4 linked regions of the Arabidopsis thaliana genome follow. The protein of the gene in region 1 interacts with the protein of each later gene in a pairwise test. Each region holds a gene or a part of one and is shown on either strand. Other genes may lie near its edges. The genes, in order: MUB4, UBC9, UBC28 and UBC10.

The links.
Region 2: the proteins of MUB4 (region 1) and UBC9 interact in a two-hybrid assay, tested with the Arabidopsis thaliana proteins (one study listed by BioGRID).
Region 3: the proteins of MUB4 (region 1) and UBC28 interact in a two-hybrid assay, tested with the Arabidopsis thaliana proteins (one study listed by BioGRID).
Region 4: the proteins of MUB4 (region 1) and UBC10 interact in a two-hybrid assay, tested with the Arabidopsis thaliana proteins (one study listed by BioGRID).

What each region holds. Positions count from the first base shown.
Region 1 is NC_003074.8:9,945,232-9,950,109, reverse strand, and holds MUB4 (membrane-anchored ubiquitin-fold protein 4 precursor), read left to right. Parts: upstream 1-2,025; 5' UTR 2,026-2,316; intron 2,317-2,591; 5' UTR 2,592-2,665; coding exon 2,666-2,795; intron 2,796-3,327; coding exon 3,328-3,498; intron 3,499-3,581; coding exon 3,582-3,643; 3' UTR 3,644-4,354; downstream 4,355-4,878. Other genes in the region: AT3G26990 (ENTH/VHS family protein), read left to right, coding at 418-557, 643-678, 932-1,684; AT3G26960 (Pollen Ole e 1 allergen and extensin family protein), read left to right, coding at 4,651-4,834. UniProt on the Arabidopsis thaliana protein: May serve as docking site to facilitate the association of other proteins to the plasma membrane.
Region 2 is NC_003075.7:13,915,005-13,919,155, reverse strand, and holds UBC9 (ubiquitin conjugating enzyme 9), read left to right. Parts: upstream 1-1,655; 5' UTR 1,656-1,862; coding exon 1,863-2,022; intron 2,023-2,455; coding exon 2,456-2,583; intron 2,584-2,749; coding exon 2,750-2,854; intron 2,855-2,947; coding exon 2,948-3,091; 3' UTR 3,092-3,625; downstream 3,626-4,151. Other genes in the region: SLAH2 (SLAC1 homologue 2), read left to right, coding at 1-262, 363-394, 482-866. UniProt on the Arabidopsis thaliana protein: Accepts the ubiquitin-like protein SUMO/SMT3 from the E1 complex and catalyzes its covalent attachment to other proteins. Mediates the selective degradation of short-lived and abnormal proteins.
Region 3 is NC_003070.9:23,831,770-23,836,079, forward strand, and holds UBC28 (ubiquitin-conjugating enzyme 28), read left to right. Parts: upstream 1-1,781; 5' UTR 1,782-1,902; intron 1,903-1,980; 5' UTR 1,981-2,022; coding exon 2,023-2,092; intron 2,093-2,707; coding exon 2,708-2,833; intron 2,834-2,922; coding exon 2,923-3,050; intron 3,051-3,116; coding exon 3,117-3,221; intron 3,222-3,307; coding exon 3,308-3,451; 3' UTR 3,452-3,767; downstream 3,768-4,310. Other genes in the region: AT1G64210 (Leucine-rich repeat protein kinase family protein), read left to right, coding at 1-440, 508-1,094; TOM7-2 (translocase of outer membrane 7 kDa subunit 2), read right to left, coding at 1,319-1,552. UniProt on the Arabidopsis thaliana protein: Accepts the ubiquitin from the E1 complex and catalyzes its covalent attachment to other proteins.
Region 4 is NC_003076.8:21,631,516-21,635,981, forward strand, and holds UBC10 (ubiquitin-conjugating enzyme 10), read right to left. Parts: upstream 2,733-4,466; 5' UTR 2,584-2,732; intron 2,512-2,583; exon of another isoform or gene 2,485-2,511; 5' UTR 2,475-2,484; coding exon 2,405-2,474; intron 2,048-2,404; coding exon 1,920-2,047; intron 1,804-1,919; coding exon 1,699-1,803; coding exon of another isoform or gene 1,672-1,698; exon of another isoform or gene 1,431-1,671; coding exon 1,287-1,430; 3' UTR 1,052-1,286; exon of another isoform or gene 933-1,051; intron 532-932; 3' UTR 506-531; downstream 1-505. Other genes in the region: AT5G53310 (myosin heavy chain-like protein), read left to right, coding at 3,142-3,364, 3,577-3,895, 4,400-4,458. UniProt on the Arabidopsis thaliana protein: Accepts the ubiquitin from the E1 complex and catalyzes its covalent attachment to other proteins. Mediates the selective degradation of short-lived and abnormal proteins.

The sequences.
Region 1 (4,878 bases):
TAACAATCTCGTATCTGGTCTATGTGTGATCTTAAACCACTACCACGCTTCCAATTCTTACTTCCATGATGCTCCTCTCTCATTTTTCCAAATAGTTTTTGCCAAAATCATCTTTTAAACATGGTGGCTCTTACCATTTGATAGGAATATTCAGCATATCTTTGTGTCAAATCATTTAATGATAAGAGCACTTACCCCCAATCCGCAACGAGAATAACCAGTGCTACACATTTTGGTTAATTTTGGATCCCTAATTTTTGTCACTACATTTCTGATTACTGGGACTGGTCTTTATATTAACTGCTTGTAGATATATTACACTTCTTTACTTGTAGGATAGAGAAGATCCAATTCTTGTTCAAGCATCCATTTGAAGTTGTTTTCACTATCTTACTTCTTGAGCATTGCTTTAAATAGGACACGCCCCTGGGCCAGCGGTGGTGAAGGAGTTGCAGGGACAACATGTCATATTGAGAGACTGCATCGAACAGCTAGGGGCAATGGAGACATCCAGAACAAGTCTTATCTCACATTTGAGAGAAGCTTTACAAGAACAGGTTTACATTTATACATTTTCTTTCAAAACAACATCTTTCATTGCACCGGCCAGAAACCTCACCTTGTTTTTGTTTTTGTGTCCAGGAACTCAAGCTGGAGCAAGTCCGTAACCACCTTCAGGTTTGAATACTTACCAACAAATGTGATATTTGTTCCTCAGACATTTTATACATTTCAATTTACACAATACATCATAACGTTCTCAATAGTACTTTCCGAGACATGCTGGTCTAGCTTCAAGCTTGTTTAGTGAATTTGTTCAAGGAAGATAGACCCAAATCTAATTAGGGTTCTTGGTTGCCTTTCCAAACAGAATGTTGCCTTGTCTTTATGCTATTTAGTTGAATTGATTTCATTTGTGCTACGATTTCAGATTGCTCGGTTTCAATCAGACCGAACTGGTGATCTCTGCAGACAGCTTCTAGACCATGGTGGTAGTTCACAGCCTCCTGCTACAGAAGAAGAAGAGTCAAAAGAAGTTATCAAAGTTTCATCCACTGCAGCAGCACCACAAAGCTTCACACACAGCGATGTGGAACAATCTGCACCAGTTATGTTTGCCTCAAACCCAACTCAATCGCTGGAAGACCCAAGAAAAACTGCTGCTGCTGCAGTGGTAGCTAAGCTAACTGCTTCAACTTCCTCAGCCGAGATGCTCTCCTATGTTCTCTCCTCCTTAGCCTCCGAAGGCATCATCGGAAACAACAACCCACCTGCTGTAACAGAAACTCTATCATCCGTCGATTTCCCACCAGAGAAAAGACCTAAGCTTCAAAATCATGACCAGTCGTATCTCTCACCGCACCATCAGAACACTGCAACAACATCATCCTCCACACCCCCACAACCGCTTCCACCACCACCACCATTCCAGCTTCAACCTCAGTTTTTGCAGCCGTTACAGCCTCCCGGGCCAGTAAACCACACACCATTCAACTACACCATAGCAACCTCTACTGCAACCACTCAGCAACAACAACAAGAACAAGGTCCTTGGGTACCTGGGCTCACTCAACTTTCAACAACCTCTGCTCCATCGGAGAATTCATACCAGAAGTTTCAGGGACAAGATGGTTTCTATGGCATTAACTCATCTGTGCCTATTACACCTGTCACTCGCCAGTAGTGTAAATCTGTTCGTAGGGGTTCATATAGCAAAAAGTTCACTTTTTTTTTTGGTTTTTTTTTGTTAAATATAGTTTCAATGGGCTTTTGATAATTAGGATTTTATGTTCTTAAAATGTGCTTTGTATGCTTTCTAATTGTGCGTCTAATCCAAGGTTTCAACTCTGTAAACATATCATAAAAATCCTTTGTTTTGCTCTGAGATTTTACTATTGTTGGAAGATTCTATAGATTTTCAAATTTTCTTGTTCCTCTCTTTGAAATTTACATGGAAGTCAGATTTGGACCAAAGTGATTTGTTGCTCGTCTTTTAAAGTCTTCTGGTCAAAACGCCGACAAGGCTTTGCTTTTGACTAATAAAGAAACATACTTTTCCACAATTTTCTTGTCTTTTTATCTTATTTCCTTACTCGTCAGGGATTCCCTGTAACGCGGCAATCCTGACGAAAGACATATCAGAAACTTTGATAGAATCACATAGCAGCAATCTCTTAGCTGGATTTTACCAGCTTCACTTTGAGATTAGGTCATTTACCCTTTTAAGGGTTTCTCTCCTACTTTCTTGATTCTCTTCATTCCCAAGACTCAAAACCTAGCAAACTTGGACATTTGGATTGAGTGTCTCTAGTCCGGGTAAGATTTGTGTGTTGTGGTAACTTTATCTGACGGTTTAGGAGCTTAGGTTGCTTAGATGAGTTCCAAGTTTTTATTTTTCTTTTGCTTATTGTTCTTCTTGTTCCTTTGGTCCAAGTTCTTGATTTGGACAGTAACTGAAAATTTCCTAATTGATTCCTTTAAGTTTGACTGTGCTCTTATTACTAGTCTTCTCTAAATATTTTTGTTCTTTGCTTCGACAATTTCATTGATGCTTTGAATTTGAGAATCTCTCTGTCCTCTTATTATTATAGGTCTCATTTGGGTGGATTCTTTCTGGTGAAATCTTTCTTGTGAGAGTTTTGTATTGGGAGAAAGAGATAATCAAATGCCGGAGGAAGATTTGGTAGAACTGAAATTCCGGTTATATGACGGTTCAGATGTTGGCCCGTTTCAGTACTCTCCAACCGCCACAGTGTCAATGCTTAAGGAGAGAATTGTCTCTGAATGGCCTAAAGGTTAGCACCGAGCACAATCTTTTGGTTTGTTTTTCGGCTAATCCGTGAAAAAGAAGTAAAAATGCGATAGAAGTGCTCTTTAATGCTTTAGATTTGGCTTTAGAACGTTTGCTTCAGCCATTTTTTTTTTTCTTCAGTTTCTTCACTTGTGGCTTGATAGACAAAGTTCAGACATAAGTCATAGGATCTGATTGACTTACTAATCATTTGTCTTAAAGTAGGAACAGAAGAAGGAAGTTAAACTATTGATCTTTTAAAAGGTTACTCGATCTTGTGATCTATGTTTTAACAGTTTCTCCACTTGTGGTATAGGCTTTTGAATTGGTCTGATTGTATTACTAATCACTTGTCTTATACTACAAATCATGTCTTTAGAGACTATAGGGACGAATACTGTTCTGGTTCTTTTTAGTAGAATTTCTTGATCTTACTCTTCAGTCTTGTGCATTCAACAAAAAATTGAATTTGTCTCATTTTGTTTCCTATTGTATCTTATTGACTAATCGAATTTGGGGGTTTTGAATGTGTGTAGACAAGAAGATTGTTCCAAAATCAGCTAGTGACATCAAGTTGATAAATGCTGGTAAGATTTTGGAGAATGGTAAAACTGTTGCACAGTGTAAAGCTCCATTTGATGATCTCCCTAAATCCGTCATTACAATGCATGTTGTCGTGCAACTGTCTCCAACAAAAGCAAGACCAGGTCTTGTTCTTTCTTATCTCCGTAAATCTTGTTTGTGGAATGAATTCTTTAGCCTAATATCTTGTTTTTTCTTTCTCTTACAGAGAAAAAAATCGAAAAGGAAGAAGCCCCACAGAGAAGCTTTTGCTCATGTACCATAATGTGAGAACAACAACAAGTCCCAAGTCAAAAAATCTGAAAGAGTTAAGTTTTGATTCTCTGTGGTATTTGCTAAAAGACCATATAAACATAAACTACCGCTTCATATTCGACATTTTCTTCACAAGTTCAAAGAAACCTTCATCTATGGCGTTATAAAGCTAGTCTATTAGAGTTGTTTCTCTTGAGCTGTGATGGAAAAACTCTTGTTTGGAGCATCCTTTATAAAGATAAGAGTTTTGTTACCGCGAACTAATTCAAGTATCTCTGTAACATATCTTGTATGGTTTTGTCAATCTTTAGTACATTTTAGACCTGGTTTTTTTCTCTATCAGGATCCGCCCAAAACTGTATCCAAACATCTTTATCCAGTCCATTACCTACAGTGAAAACGAGTACTAAACGTTTGCAGTTTGGTTCTTGAGTGGCAAACACTTTGATATGTTACTATATGGTCCATACCTTTCTCATCATTTTCCACTTCCACAAAGCCAATGTTTTGGGGATGTAGGTAGATACAAACCTCCAAAAGAAACAGAGAGCATGAGATCTCAATAAATGTCCTTTCACCTAACTTATCACTGTCTCCCACTTAATTCTCTCATTTATAACCTTCACTTTCACTTAGTGTCTCTCCACTATCTTGTCTTGTTTCGCCTTTAATTCTATTCCTCTCCTCTGGCTCTCATTTATAATCTTCACTCCAAATGCACCTTTCTTTGTACTCCCATCACTTTCTCTTCGATATGGTATTTACTTTAATCCGATTCGAATATTGTAACTATGAAAAACAAAATGAATAGTAAAAATATCCGTTTCGTATCCAAGCCTATTTTTAAAAGACACGTTTGTATAACTCTCTCTATATATAGAAAGGAACCACGAAGCTCTTTCAAGAGAGTTCTATTCTTGTCTGAAAACTAGTTCCCTATATTTCTTCTTTCTTCACACACATATTCTCCAATTCTTACATAAATATCAAATAAACCAAACTTGAAACTTGTTGTGCTTAAGATGACGAAGAAATCACTGACAATGTTTCTTTTTATACTTCTGCAATTTCTGCTCGTAAACTCTCTATCTTCAAAGCATTCATCACCCAAACCAAAACCAGATGCAGAAATCACTATAATGGGTTTTGTTTACTGCGATGTTTGCTCCAAAAACAGTTTCTCTAAACACAGTTACTTCATGTCCGGTAGTAACTCAGAACAAAAAGATCTCTTTAATTAATTCCCTGCA
Region 2 (4,151 bases), on another chromosome or scaffold:
ACTTCTAGGAGCATCCATGGGGTTGAAAGAAGGACCAATATTCTTCTTTGCCATAGGGTTGGCTTATTATTTGGTTTTATTTGTGACTCTCTATCAGAGACTTCCCACGAATGAAACCTTACCTAAAGAGCTTCACCCTGTTTTCTTCCTCTTTGTGGCTGCACCAGCCGTCGCTTCCATGGCCTGGACCAAGATCTCTGCCTCTTTCGATCTCGGTTCGCGTCTAGCATACTTCATCTCCTTGTTCTTGTACTTCTCTCTGGTAGTTTTTGTTTTCATTAACAGAGTTCTAGTGAGCTAGTGCTGAGTTTCTTGTGGTACAAGAAATGTAACAGCTTTACTTCTTGTGATTCTTGTTTCAGGTTTGTCGGATTAACCTTTTCCGGGGATTCAAGTAAGCTGTTTCTTGAACTGCAAGGATCTAATTTACCAAACCAAATAACATACATGTTATCTGACATAATTATTCAAAAAATATCAGATTCTCGCTAGCTTGGTGGGCTTACACGTTTCCAATGACGGCAGTGGCCAGTGCGACGATCAAATATTCAGACGAAGTCACGGGAGTGGCAACGAAGATACTATCGGTTGTGATGTCGGGAGCAGCAACTCTGACGGTGATAGCTGTGCTTGGGTTGACGGTGATGCATGCTTTTGTCCAACGTGATCTCTTCCCCAATGACGTTGTCATTGCCATAAGTGCAGAACAACCGAAGCAGAAGAGATGGTTCAAACATCTCACAAAAGAAAGTTATGGAAATAATGAGAGATGTCCCAAGATTTTGGATCCGGAAGATAATCAAATAGATTTAGAATCTCCTCCTTTAGTAAATGTAGATAGTTCCACGGTTCAGAATTCAAATTAACAAAAAAAAAAAATGTGATGAAAATTCATGATCTTTGTTAATTAACTTCTCATGTACAACACTATAGCAGTGCTAATAATAATAAATTAGCGAAAATCTTAATTATTTTGGTAAATTTTAGTTGCATACCATTCTTTTTACTGATCATGATAAATTACTTCTTCATTTCAGCAAAAATATAAAAACTATAATCACTTTGGCTTATTCTTTCGTTAGATTTAGTTATTATAGTATTGTTTGATTCAATTCAAGTAAAAACTATTTGAGTTATAGGCAAACTTAGTCACACCAACCGCAACCTTCACAATTTGTCTTAACAAGTTAGATCATATTTCGTGGAAATAATGTCTAGCTTAACATCTAATTTGTCGAATATATCTTAATGTCACTGTTATGTTAATTCATCCTCCATCTTTATACTTTGTCACCAAAACGAATCGTCTTGTCACATATGACATATGACAGTAAAAACAATGTAATAATTTCCTACACATCACGTTTTTGAAAAAAAACATCCTTCATCAACCGCTGGTCAATCTTGAAAGCATGGTAAATTCATTCAAATTACGTCAAATGATTCGTTCTACAAAACTCTCAGCCGTCGGATCATACGACTTTTGACTAAACCACTTAAACGACGACGCTTCGACGGGATTGGAAAACATCGGCGCCACATGATGATGATACGAACAACCGCGTTATTTTATATGTGCCGTAGGTACAACGCTGAGTTAGGCCCACCCAAAAAAAAGTTTGACATTATTTAAAACGAACGAATCTGAAAGAATAAAGCAGCAGAGTCCACTAATCAAACGAACCAGAATTTACCCGCACCCTATTTATTGTGGTCGCGACCACACAACATTTTCAACTTCTTCTTCTCTTCCGTTTCACCACCCTTTCTTCTCCTAAATTCGAAGAACCAAAACCAAAAACGTGAATTCGGAGTTATGATTTTGGATCTTCTTCCCGTCTTTATATATAATTTTCTGGGTTATGTTTTTCTTCTTCTTAATTCATCTGACCATTGGATTGGTTTTCGATTGCAGAGTCTTCAATTGGAATTTGGATCGTGGGATTTTGGAAATGGCATCGAAACGGATTTTGAAGGAATTGAAGGATCTGCAGAAGGATCCTCCTACTTCATGTAGCGCAGGTACCTATTCTTTTAGTCGATTTATCAACTTTGATTCAATAATTATGTTCCTCTTGCTGGATAATGATGGGTCGTTGGTTTTGATCTTCTTTTGAGCTGGTTTTTTATGTGTGCGACGGTTTGATATTGATCTCTCGTTAGCTTAGATCTAATTATCCTTGATTTTTAGGTAATTCAGCTGCTAATAACAGAAATTTGCATACTTCATGGTAACACTTGTTTGTGATTTTTCTAGGAATGAATCATAAAGGTCAATGTTCAAACTTGTTTGCTCGTTGATAGATCTGGTTTCATTTTTTGATTTCCTTGGATGAGATCTTAGGATTATAACTCTGTTGTTCTCTTCTAATTTTGCCCCTTTTACCAACTTCTTCTTATATGCATGTTGTTGCTTTTCTGGTTTGGTATTGAAGTTTTGGTTAAATGTTGACAGGACCCGTTGCGGAAGACATGTTTCATTGGCAGGCCACTATAATGGGTCCATCGGATAGCCCTTATTCTGGAGGAGTTTTTCTTGTAACCATCCATTTCCCTCCAGATTACCCATTTAAGCCTCCTAAGGTATATTCAAATCTCTACAGCTGCTTCTTCTTCTTTGAATTTTTTTTCCAACTTTACTTCGGCCATCATTTTTCTGTTGCTAATATCTTCCATCGTTTATCTATTGTTCTTTTCTCTGTGTTCTTGATTTCATTGCTCTCTATGTATGTTGTTACAAAAAATGTAGGTGGCTTTTAGGACGAAGGTGTTCCATCCAAACATTAACAGCAATGGAAGCATCTGCCTCGACATCTTGAAGGAGCAGTGGAGTCCTGCTCTCACAATTTCCAAGGTTTTCTTTTGTTCTTCCTCATCTTTATCATATTAGAACCATAATTTTGCAGCTTTGCTCTCCAGGTGACATCAATTTTGTGTGGTGCAACAGGTGCTGCTATCGATCTGTTCTTTGTTAACGGATCCAAACCCAGATGATCCTTTGGTCCCTGAGATAGCTCACATGTACAAGACAGACAAGAACAAGTACGAGTCCACTGCTCGGACCTGGACCCAAAAGTATGCCATGGGCTGACACAAATACTGTCCTTAAGGAAGAGCCCTAATAATTAAACTCTTCTTATTTCTATGTAATGATCTTTTATAGACTTGTCTGTCTTATAAAATTTGTGAAGACAGGATCAGTAAGAAATTATTTGATCTCCATTCTATGGAATTGTAAAACGTAAATCATCATCCCGTCTGCTGTTTCTTTATTGCGTGATGCCGATGCGTCTCTGTGTTTATCAAGGCTCATATTATTTTGGATTTTATTCTGTCCAAAGCCCAAACTAGCTACAATCGTAAGCCTTTCCGTTTTCGTAAACATTATTAACTTACATACGTAACATTTTCATTTTAGTATTATGTGGGCAATGATTTATGTAAATGGTGTATGGGGCCTAAGAGTGAAGTTGTTCATGAGTTAAGATTGTGATTGTGATCCATCTGGAACAATTTAATAAAATGGGACAAAGGAATTATCACTTTGAAGTTTGACCAATTTAAGATTTACAAAAAATAGTAAAACTATTAAAATCACCTTTTCCCCAAATAATATACTCAAACGGGTTTAGCCATTAGTGCTACTAAACATTATGGTATAAAGACCTTGAAAAAACGGTTACTTTTTTATGGTATAACCCAACTATTATGACACTTTTGTGTTCAAGGTTCTGTTTCAGTGATGGAGTATAGTATATTTTAACATAATGTTTATCCCACGAATTAGATTCCTCTTCGATGGACACATGTTGTTGTTAAGGTTGGGAGCTTATGAGGTTGGCGAGGTTTAAAGCAGTAATCAGGGCTTATTATGTTGAGATTAAGGTTATGATTTTATAATTTCACGTTAGTTTGTTGACGATTTATAAAAAAAAAATGTTATGAATGCATATTTTGCTTAATGAAAGTGCTAGTGGACGCTTGATCAATTCATGTTAATCTTTAAAACTCTTTATCTTAAGATTCAAATCAAAGTTTATTTTCTTTCTCGAAACTCCAACACTTGTATTTCTATATATTTTGAGTTTTGGGTTTACCGAGGCTTCCAAGTCCATTCGAATAAGTTTTTAAATGTGTGTTTTCACTACTCG
Region 3 (4,310 bases), on another chromosome or scaffold:
CGGATTATCATTCATAATGATCACTTGTTTCGGGAAGACTAGAATCTCCGGGAAGTTGCGAAAGAGAGACTCGTCTTCTCCTCCAGGAAACTGGACATCTAGAGATGATAACACTGAAGAAGGCGGGAAGATCATCTTCTTTGGTGGAAGAAACCACTTATTTGATTTAGATGATTTGCTAAGCTCATCTGCAGAAGTTTTGGGGAAGGGTGCTTTTGGTACAACCTATAAGGTAACAATGGAGGACATGAGCACGGTCGTTGTAAAACGATTGAAGGAAGTTGTCGTTGGAAGACGAGAGTTTGAGCAACAAATGGAGATCATTGGTATGATCAGACATGAAAATGTAGCTGAGCTAAAGGCTTACTACTACTCCAAAGACGATAAGCTCGCGGTTTATAGCTATTACAATCATGGAAGCCTCTTCGAAATACTGCACGGTTAGTTATTTTCATTGCTCTCATTCTGATGATAAATCGAAACTACAAGGTTCCATTTTCTTTGCAGGAAACAGAGGAAGGTATCATCGAGTACCGTTAGATTGGGATGCTAGACTGCGAATAGCAACCGGTGCAGCGAGAGGGCTAGCTAAAATCCACGAAGGGAAGTTCATACATGGAAACATCAAATCCTCAAACATCTTCTTAGACTCACAATGCTATGGCTGCATAGGCGATGTTGGCTTGACGACAATCATGAGATCACTTCCTCAAACCACTTGCCTTACTTCTGGCTACCATGCACCTGAAATAACAGACACAAGAAGAAGCACACAGTTTTCGGATGTATACAGCTTCGGTGTGGTATTACTGGAGCTCTTGACAGGGAAATCACCAGTGAGTCAAGCAGAATTAGTACCAACAGGAGGTGAGAACATGGACTTAGCTAGCTGGATAAGATCTGTGGTGGCTAAAGAGTGGACTGGAGAAGTGTTTGATATGGAGATATTGAGTCAATCAGGTGGTTTCGAGGAGGAGATGGTTGAGATGTTGCAAATAGGATTGGCTTGTGTTGCTCTGAAGCAACAAGAAAGACCTCATATAGCTCAAGTTTTGAAATTGATTGAAGATATTCGATCAGTTGATGCAGAGTGAGACAACACAAACTAGTAGTAGTAACCATTAAAGCAAATTCTTTGTTTCTTCATAGATCATTTGATTTTATTGAATTTGAATCATGCAAAAAAGAATGAGACTTTGAATTATAGAATCAGAAACAAATATAAATCCATTTCATAAAACGAAGAAAACAGAACAAATTTGGGAAAAAAAGTAAAAGCATCTAAGAAGAACATTACGAAGAAGATCCAATTTGTGGATTAAACGGGAGAGAGGAGGTGAAAAAGATGAGGTTTAGGATCTGAGTTCATGCCGATGATGATGATCAGAGGGATGAAACCATAGTGAGTCGCGACTTTGGCTTTCTGTAATGACCAGTTGGTCCAATCCTTGAAGACCTTGTACTTTGATGATGCAGAGGAGGACGAAGATGATGATGATCCCTTTGATGGTTTTGCTTTGCCTTTGATCTTCAACGTACTTTTAGCCGCCATTGATTCTGATCTCAGAACTCTCTCTCTCTCTCTCTGCTTATCTCTGTGTCAGAGTCGATTTAGCTGGAAGACAAAAACCCTAAAGGGTTTAAGCACCTTTTTAAAGCCTCTATGAAACACTCTGTCTAACTCAGAGGGTCCTTTATTTTTTATTAAAAGTATGTTTATCCAATAATGATTCTCTGGCTCGCTGGAAAATAGCTGTCATTATTTATATTTGAAGCATACATAAATAAAATTTCTCTCTCTTTGTTTATTCGTTAGGTCTCAAAGGCTCTCTCTGTCTCTTTCTCAAAAATCATCTGCAGGAAGTGAATCGTCAAAACCGAGTTTGGAGGATCTGTCTTGAGGTAAAAAAGCTCAATCCTTTATCGGAAATTTTCAACCTTTGCTTTTCCTTTGTTTGTTGCGTTGCTGAATCTATCTAGGGTTTGGTTTTTTGGATCTAGGAGTTTTTTTTTGGTTGAGAAATGGCTTCGAAAAGGATCTTGAAAGAGCTCAAGGATCTCCAGAAGGATCCTCCAACTTCCTGCAGTGCTGGTTAGTCTTTACCTCTCCTCTCGTAAATCGTGTCTGATCTATTTTTGAGCTTTGTTGTTAGATCTTATAATCTTATCTTTAAGCAAACAAAAAAATGAAATCTTTTTTAGTCTTCGTAATTTTATAACGAAGTTATCTAGAGATCTTGAGGTGGTAATTGCCGCTAAGTTATGATCTTAGTTTAGAAGATACCAATTGAAAGTTGAGATTTTTCTTAGAACAGAACAAATTTATGGCTGTACTGATCCTTGATTGAAAATTACAGCTTTCTAATAATCATAGTCTAGAAGATAGCTGTTAAAAATTGGGATCCATTTACCCATCCTGGATACTATTGATCATAATTAATAAGATAACAGTTGGAAGTTGAGATTTTTCTTAGAACAAAGTTGAGATTGGTCGTTGCAGTTATCTTATGATCATAGTCTAGGAAATAGCTATTGAAAGTTGTGAATTTTCTTAGAATTAAGCTTTTGGTGTTGTATGCTGCCTTGTTTATCCAAGTATCCATAACGGATCTTACAGACTTGATACCTCGCACTGATAGTCTTTCTTAGTTATCTATTGCATTCAGGTTTATACATGTTTGTTTTGTTTATTAAAATATATGATAAGTGGATAATGCGTCGAAATTGTTGGTCTTAATAGAGTTAGAGGATTGTTGTCGGAGATTCTCAAACTGTTCATGCATTCTTCTGCTAGAGAAGTCTCAGGACATTGCTATGGCACATGTTTTGTTGTGTGTATTTCAGTAAATGCCATAGATCATCATGTTTAAAAGACTAATCTTTCTATTTTTTCCTTCTATGAACAATTGTGAAATCTTCAAGGCCCAGTTGCTGAAGACATGTTTCATTGGCAAGCTACAATAATGGGTCCATCTGATAGTCCTTATTCAGGCGGTGTCTTTCTCGTAACCATTCACTTCCCTCCGGATTATCCTTTCAAACCACCAAAGGTAAATTATTCATTGTTACCAAACTGAAATCATGAACTGGAATTCAAAATGCTCTTTTTCTTGCAGGTTGCATTCAGGACAAAAGTGTTCCACCCTAATGTCAACAGCAATGGAAGCATTTGCCTTGACATTTTGAAAGAACAATGGAGTCCTGCACTCACCATATCGAAGGTGAAAAAGCACTCTTTAACCAATAGCAGTGGATGATATATAATGAATCTCCTCTTATTTTAATCAAATCTCTTGTGAATTTATAGGTTTTGCTTTCGATATGTTCATTGTTAACGGACCCAAACCCAGATGATCCATTGGTTCCAGAGATTGCTCACATGTACAAAACCGATAGAGCAAAGTATGAGTCTACTGCGAGAAGCTGGACTCAGAAATATGCAATGGGATGAAAGTTTGTGTCCTTTGATCCCTCACAGACTCGGTTTTAATAGAGAGAGAGAGAGAAAGAGAGAGGACTTCTTCACATAGGGATCTTCCATGAAATAAGTTAGATTCCTATGTTTTATCATCTCTTTGTTTGAAACCTCTTTAATCTCAAACAAAAACATTACTTCACCTCTTTATTATCCATATGTTCCCTATCTTTGTTTCTATGCTTTTTCCAAAAAATTATAAGAAAAATTATTTATGTAAAGCTGGAAACTTTGAGCTTTTACCTAACAAAGTATGACGATGATTAAATGGGAACATTTGACATTTGCTACCAAATTTTCAAAATTCCGTGTTTGAGAAAATATTGAAATAAAACCATTTTTGCAGAAAAATAAAATAAAAATTGCATGATTTTGAAGATGTTGATTAACATATTAATTCGAAATTTACCCTTGTATGAAATGCAAAGTGATAAATTTACCCTACAGAAAATTTTCTCCACCTTTATCATTTCCCTTGCTTGTAAGGGATCAATGATTCCATATGTGCATTAATTTAAAAATACCTCAAATCAAAGAATAAAGGTACACTTTATCTACCATTGAATTAAGTTACCTCATTATGAAATGGAAAGCGAAATCAAAAGGCATATTATTACGAAACAATAAACTGTAGATTTATTGGTTAGCTAGATCATCCAACTTTTCATTCAATCTGAATTTTCATTTAATTTATGATGATTTGAATGTAAAATCTGTAAATCATGGTGTATTATTATTAACCAATGAAATATTCTAAATACTGAAAATAATTCATGTAGTGATTTAGCCAATCATTTAGGCTATATTTAGTTATTTACATAGCAACTAATTACGT
Region 4 (4,466 bases), on another chromosome or scaffold:
ATGGAACACTGATTTTTATTTTATTTCTTTCAGTCGACACCAATTGTTTGAATTTTGCGTTTGAATGTCTAGAGTTCTTAGCCTACAAGTTTCATGGATATCTAAATCAAACCTATAGTCCCTATGATTTCTTATTTTGTTAAACTTAAAGCAGATGTTTAATTTGGTCTTTTGCTCTTAACTAGAGTAAGTTTTGCCTGTTGGTTATCATTTCTAAGTTCAAACTGATACTCTTCTAATACACTGATCCGTGGGATAATGATAAATTTTGAAAAAAAGATAGTAACATACTGTATTTTCTTATAGAGAAGAGAAATTCAAAAATATTCTAATAGCACAACACTATTAAATGTATTTTTCTCTTACCTGTGGACTTGTAAAGATAATTTGTTAGGGGTGATACTTTAAGCTCGGACGAGCGATGGATCTTTGGTCCATCGAAGCCCATCTACATAACTTGAGTTCAGTCCATACCCATTCATCTATAGATTATCTGTAGTATTAGATTCTATACCACTCTTTTTTTTTTTTCTGTTGATTCTATACCACTCACATTCCACATAATCAGGCTATTTATTATTTTATTAAATACTGTATTGTCAAATAATTTGACTTCACCAAATAACATGTTTTCGTCAAACTCATGATATGATGGATGATACGAATAAGAAAACTGTTATAACTTATAAACAAAATAGGGTGTTTAGTGGTTTTGTACTAGTGAATCATTGCTGAGTTACTACTTGAGTTCAAACATGCATAATACATGTCGTTTAATGGATATAGGATTGTTTGTGATATTATTGCATACTTAAAATGTTTGTTGCATCACGTATGTAGTCCACAATCCACAGGCGCACCTTGCAAGGTACAAAACTCATTTTCTACAACATACGTGCTACAACAGAACGCATTGTCACCATGACGGGCATTGGCCACAACGATTAACTCAGAGTAAATTTGAAGACCAGTTGGATAAGTTTGAAGACCAGTTGGATAAGTTTGAAGACTAGTTTGATAAATTTGAACAACTCGTAGCAACTCATCACACAACGAAAACATCAAATCATAATTTCACCACAAGAAGAAACAACAGAAGATGATCAGATTCTAGTTTTCACAAAGATGATGTTTTTTTTTGTTTCGTTTAAAACAAGACCCACTTCATTTGGTCCTGTCTTCAGAAAGTTAAAAGGACACAAAGAGATGTCTATCGAATCATACATAGAAATTAAGGCAGATTTTTTTCTTCATAAAGAGATAATTTAGTAGGTGGGATTTTCCATTTAGCCCATGGCATACTTCTGAGTCCAGCTTCGTGCAGTGGACTCGTACTTGTTCTTGTCAGTCTTGTACATGTGAGCTATCTCGGGCACCAAAGGATCATCCGGGTTTGGATCGGTTAACAAAGAACAGATCGATAGCAGCACCTGTTAATTGCAAAGCAGTTGTTAGAACTGATCGATAACAAACAACAATTTTTCATCCTCAATGAGTCTAATAAGCTTAATGTTTCAGAGACAACCGAAATGAGTCAAAGTTTAATGAAGACAGCTCAATCTTATCACTTCAACTAGGGATTAAGGAGCAAAAGCATGTTTGATAAGAGTAGATTACTGCCTCTGAAGCAGTTTTAATAGAGAGTATTTGTTTTAAGGTGGGTTTCTATTGTTAACAAAAGAATAAGAGAAACCGAACCTTGGAAATGGTGAGCGCAGGACTCCACTGCTCCTTCAAGATGTCGAGGCAAATGCTACCGTTGCTGTTAATGTTGGGATGGAACACCTTGGTCCTAAAGGCCACCTAGATATCATCACACACACCATAATGAAGAACAATGAGATAATGAAGCAACCATAAAGAACATACGAGCTTTGGCAAAACATACTTGATAACAATTCTCAAAATATTGGAATCACCTTAGGAGGCTTGAATGGGTAATCCGGAGGGAAATGGATGGTTACAAGGAAAACACCTCCAGCATAAGGACTCTCTGAAGGACCCATTATCGTTGCCTGCCAGTGAAACATGTCTTCAGCAACAGGACCTGTACACAGAAAGATAAACTCAATCTCACACCACATAAGCACAAGGAAACAAAGAGACAGTTTTTTCTTCACAAGTATAACCAGACCCCAGAAACTAAGACAATGAAACGAGTTTTAAGCCTTTATAAGATCTTCACCAGAGAAATCAGAAACGAGATAAACCAAATTTAGTTCTAGCCAGATCTTAAAAAGTAAAACGAGTACTTAGCTCGAGATCGGTACCAAACAACACATAAACACACAAATCCAAACAAATCCAAGCATAAGCGAACAAAAAAACCGGATCTATCAACACCAGCTCAGGGAAACAAAACTTTTTAAGATGAAATCTCAAAATCCAAACACGAAACAAGTACCTGCGCTACATGATGTAGGTGGATCCTTCTGGAGATCCTTCAATTCCTTCAAGATCCGCTTCGACGCCATATCCAAAAACCTAAAAATCAAAAATCAAACAAAGATTCTAAACGAATCAGAGAAGCTATAAATCCGTGAGAAATATAAGTAATAGATCCAAAAGCTACAGAGACAATACCTTTGATTTTTCGCGTAATCGGATTGGCGAGGTTTTCGCCTTTTTCTTCTCGTATTAGAGAGAAGAAGAACCAAGACTTAGGGGAAAGGAAGAAAATAGAGATGGTGGTGGACGAAAGACGAAGAATACGAATTATTCTCTGTGCTCACGTCTACAATAAATACCGTGTGGATTATTTACTTTCTTTGACTAGTGGACTCTACTTTTAACCCTCTTATTATTCGGTGGACCTTGAAACGACGCGGCGCTTCTTAATTAAAACATCAAGTTGCATTGAAACGACATCGTCTTAAAAAGTCATCTAATCTAACGGTTGATATCCTATCCTTAAATCAAGTGGTATTGAAATCTAACGGCTGCGAGTTTATTATAAATTTCAAATCAAGTGGCATCGAAACGCGTTGCGATGAAGTCATATAATCTAACGGCTGAGATTTGTATCTTTTAATCGATCGAATCATTTGAAGCCACGTCTTCTCTCTCACTTTGGAGATTTTTCTAACGCAGAATCTGAGAATAAGCTAACCGATTCCGATTTCGAGTTCGTCGCCGGGAGGAATGAACCGGTTGAAGGAGCAAAAGGGGCCGAAGTTCGACGGCGAAGAATCACCTCCACCTGATTTTGATGAAGATCGAAGTGTGGGTGAGGTAGACGGAGGAGATCACACGCCATTCGCTGGAGGTAAAGTCAGAAGGAAAGCGTCTCGCTATAGAGAGCATCGTGGTGACTATCTTCACGTTTCTTCTCGTCCTGGATTGATGCGAATTCTGGAGAAACAAGGTTAGGTTTCTCCAAACTTTTGGTTTTTATTTGATGAATTTGAGATTGAGAGGCAATTTGTGAATCGAAGAACTTGGAGGAATAGTTGAATCAGCTGTAGAATTGTGGCATCGATTTATAGTTTCTTATGTGGTTGTTTGGATTGCTAATGATTGGATTCACCTTGAATTGCATGTGTTTGATGTTGAGAAGGTGATTCATTGTTGTTATAGGTGATACATCGATTCTTTTTGCTGATAAAGTTTTGAAGTTCACCGGCTCGGGGAAGATGAAACGGCGTATTTTTATCCTCACTGATTTTGCGATCTATCTAATTGATCCCGAGACTGAAGCTATGACCAGGAGAATTGCTTTGTCATCAGTAGAGAAGATGTGTTTAAGCAAATTGAGTGATAACTTCTTCGCTATCATTATTCCCACGGAATATGATCTCTTCATGGCCAGCACTAGGAAGACTGAGCTTGTTCAGGTCATGGTAGATGTCACTAAAAGTGCTTCTGACTATGAACTTGAAGTGCTTCTCTCTAACAGGTAACTATGACCGCAATTTTTGGTTTTTGATGTCTCCTCTTTGAATGCTAATACCATGCACATGAGAATTGTTTATTTTCATCTCATTTCCTGATATTGACACTACAGGTATTGTGTTACTGAGAACTGATGTGGGTCTTTTTAGTCTCTGAAACTTAGTGAGCTCTGTTTCTTAAGTGACTTGGCTATTAGTTAGTGGTGAGACCAGAGGATCCACTTGTACCTATTAATCATATCTATATTTATGGAAGAAGATAAAGAATTAACACTTTTAGGAGATAACTACTGAAATTAGTACGTTGAGATACAAATGGTTACAACTATATTTTAAATACTGTTAGATGACATATTCTAGTTTTGATTGAAACTGTTCTCAAATGGCAATCACGATAATAGTCCGTAGAAACATTTTGTATATCTCCCATATCGTAAAACTCAGCTATTGGTTTATATGTGCAGTTTGTGTTTTATACTGATAATGGTTTCTCCTTGTGTTCATTCCAGATTTGAGTACAATGCATCTGCCTCATTAGTAAAGGAAGTTTCTTTTGAGGAATCTGAAGGTTTGTAT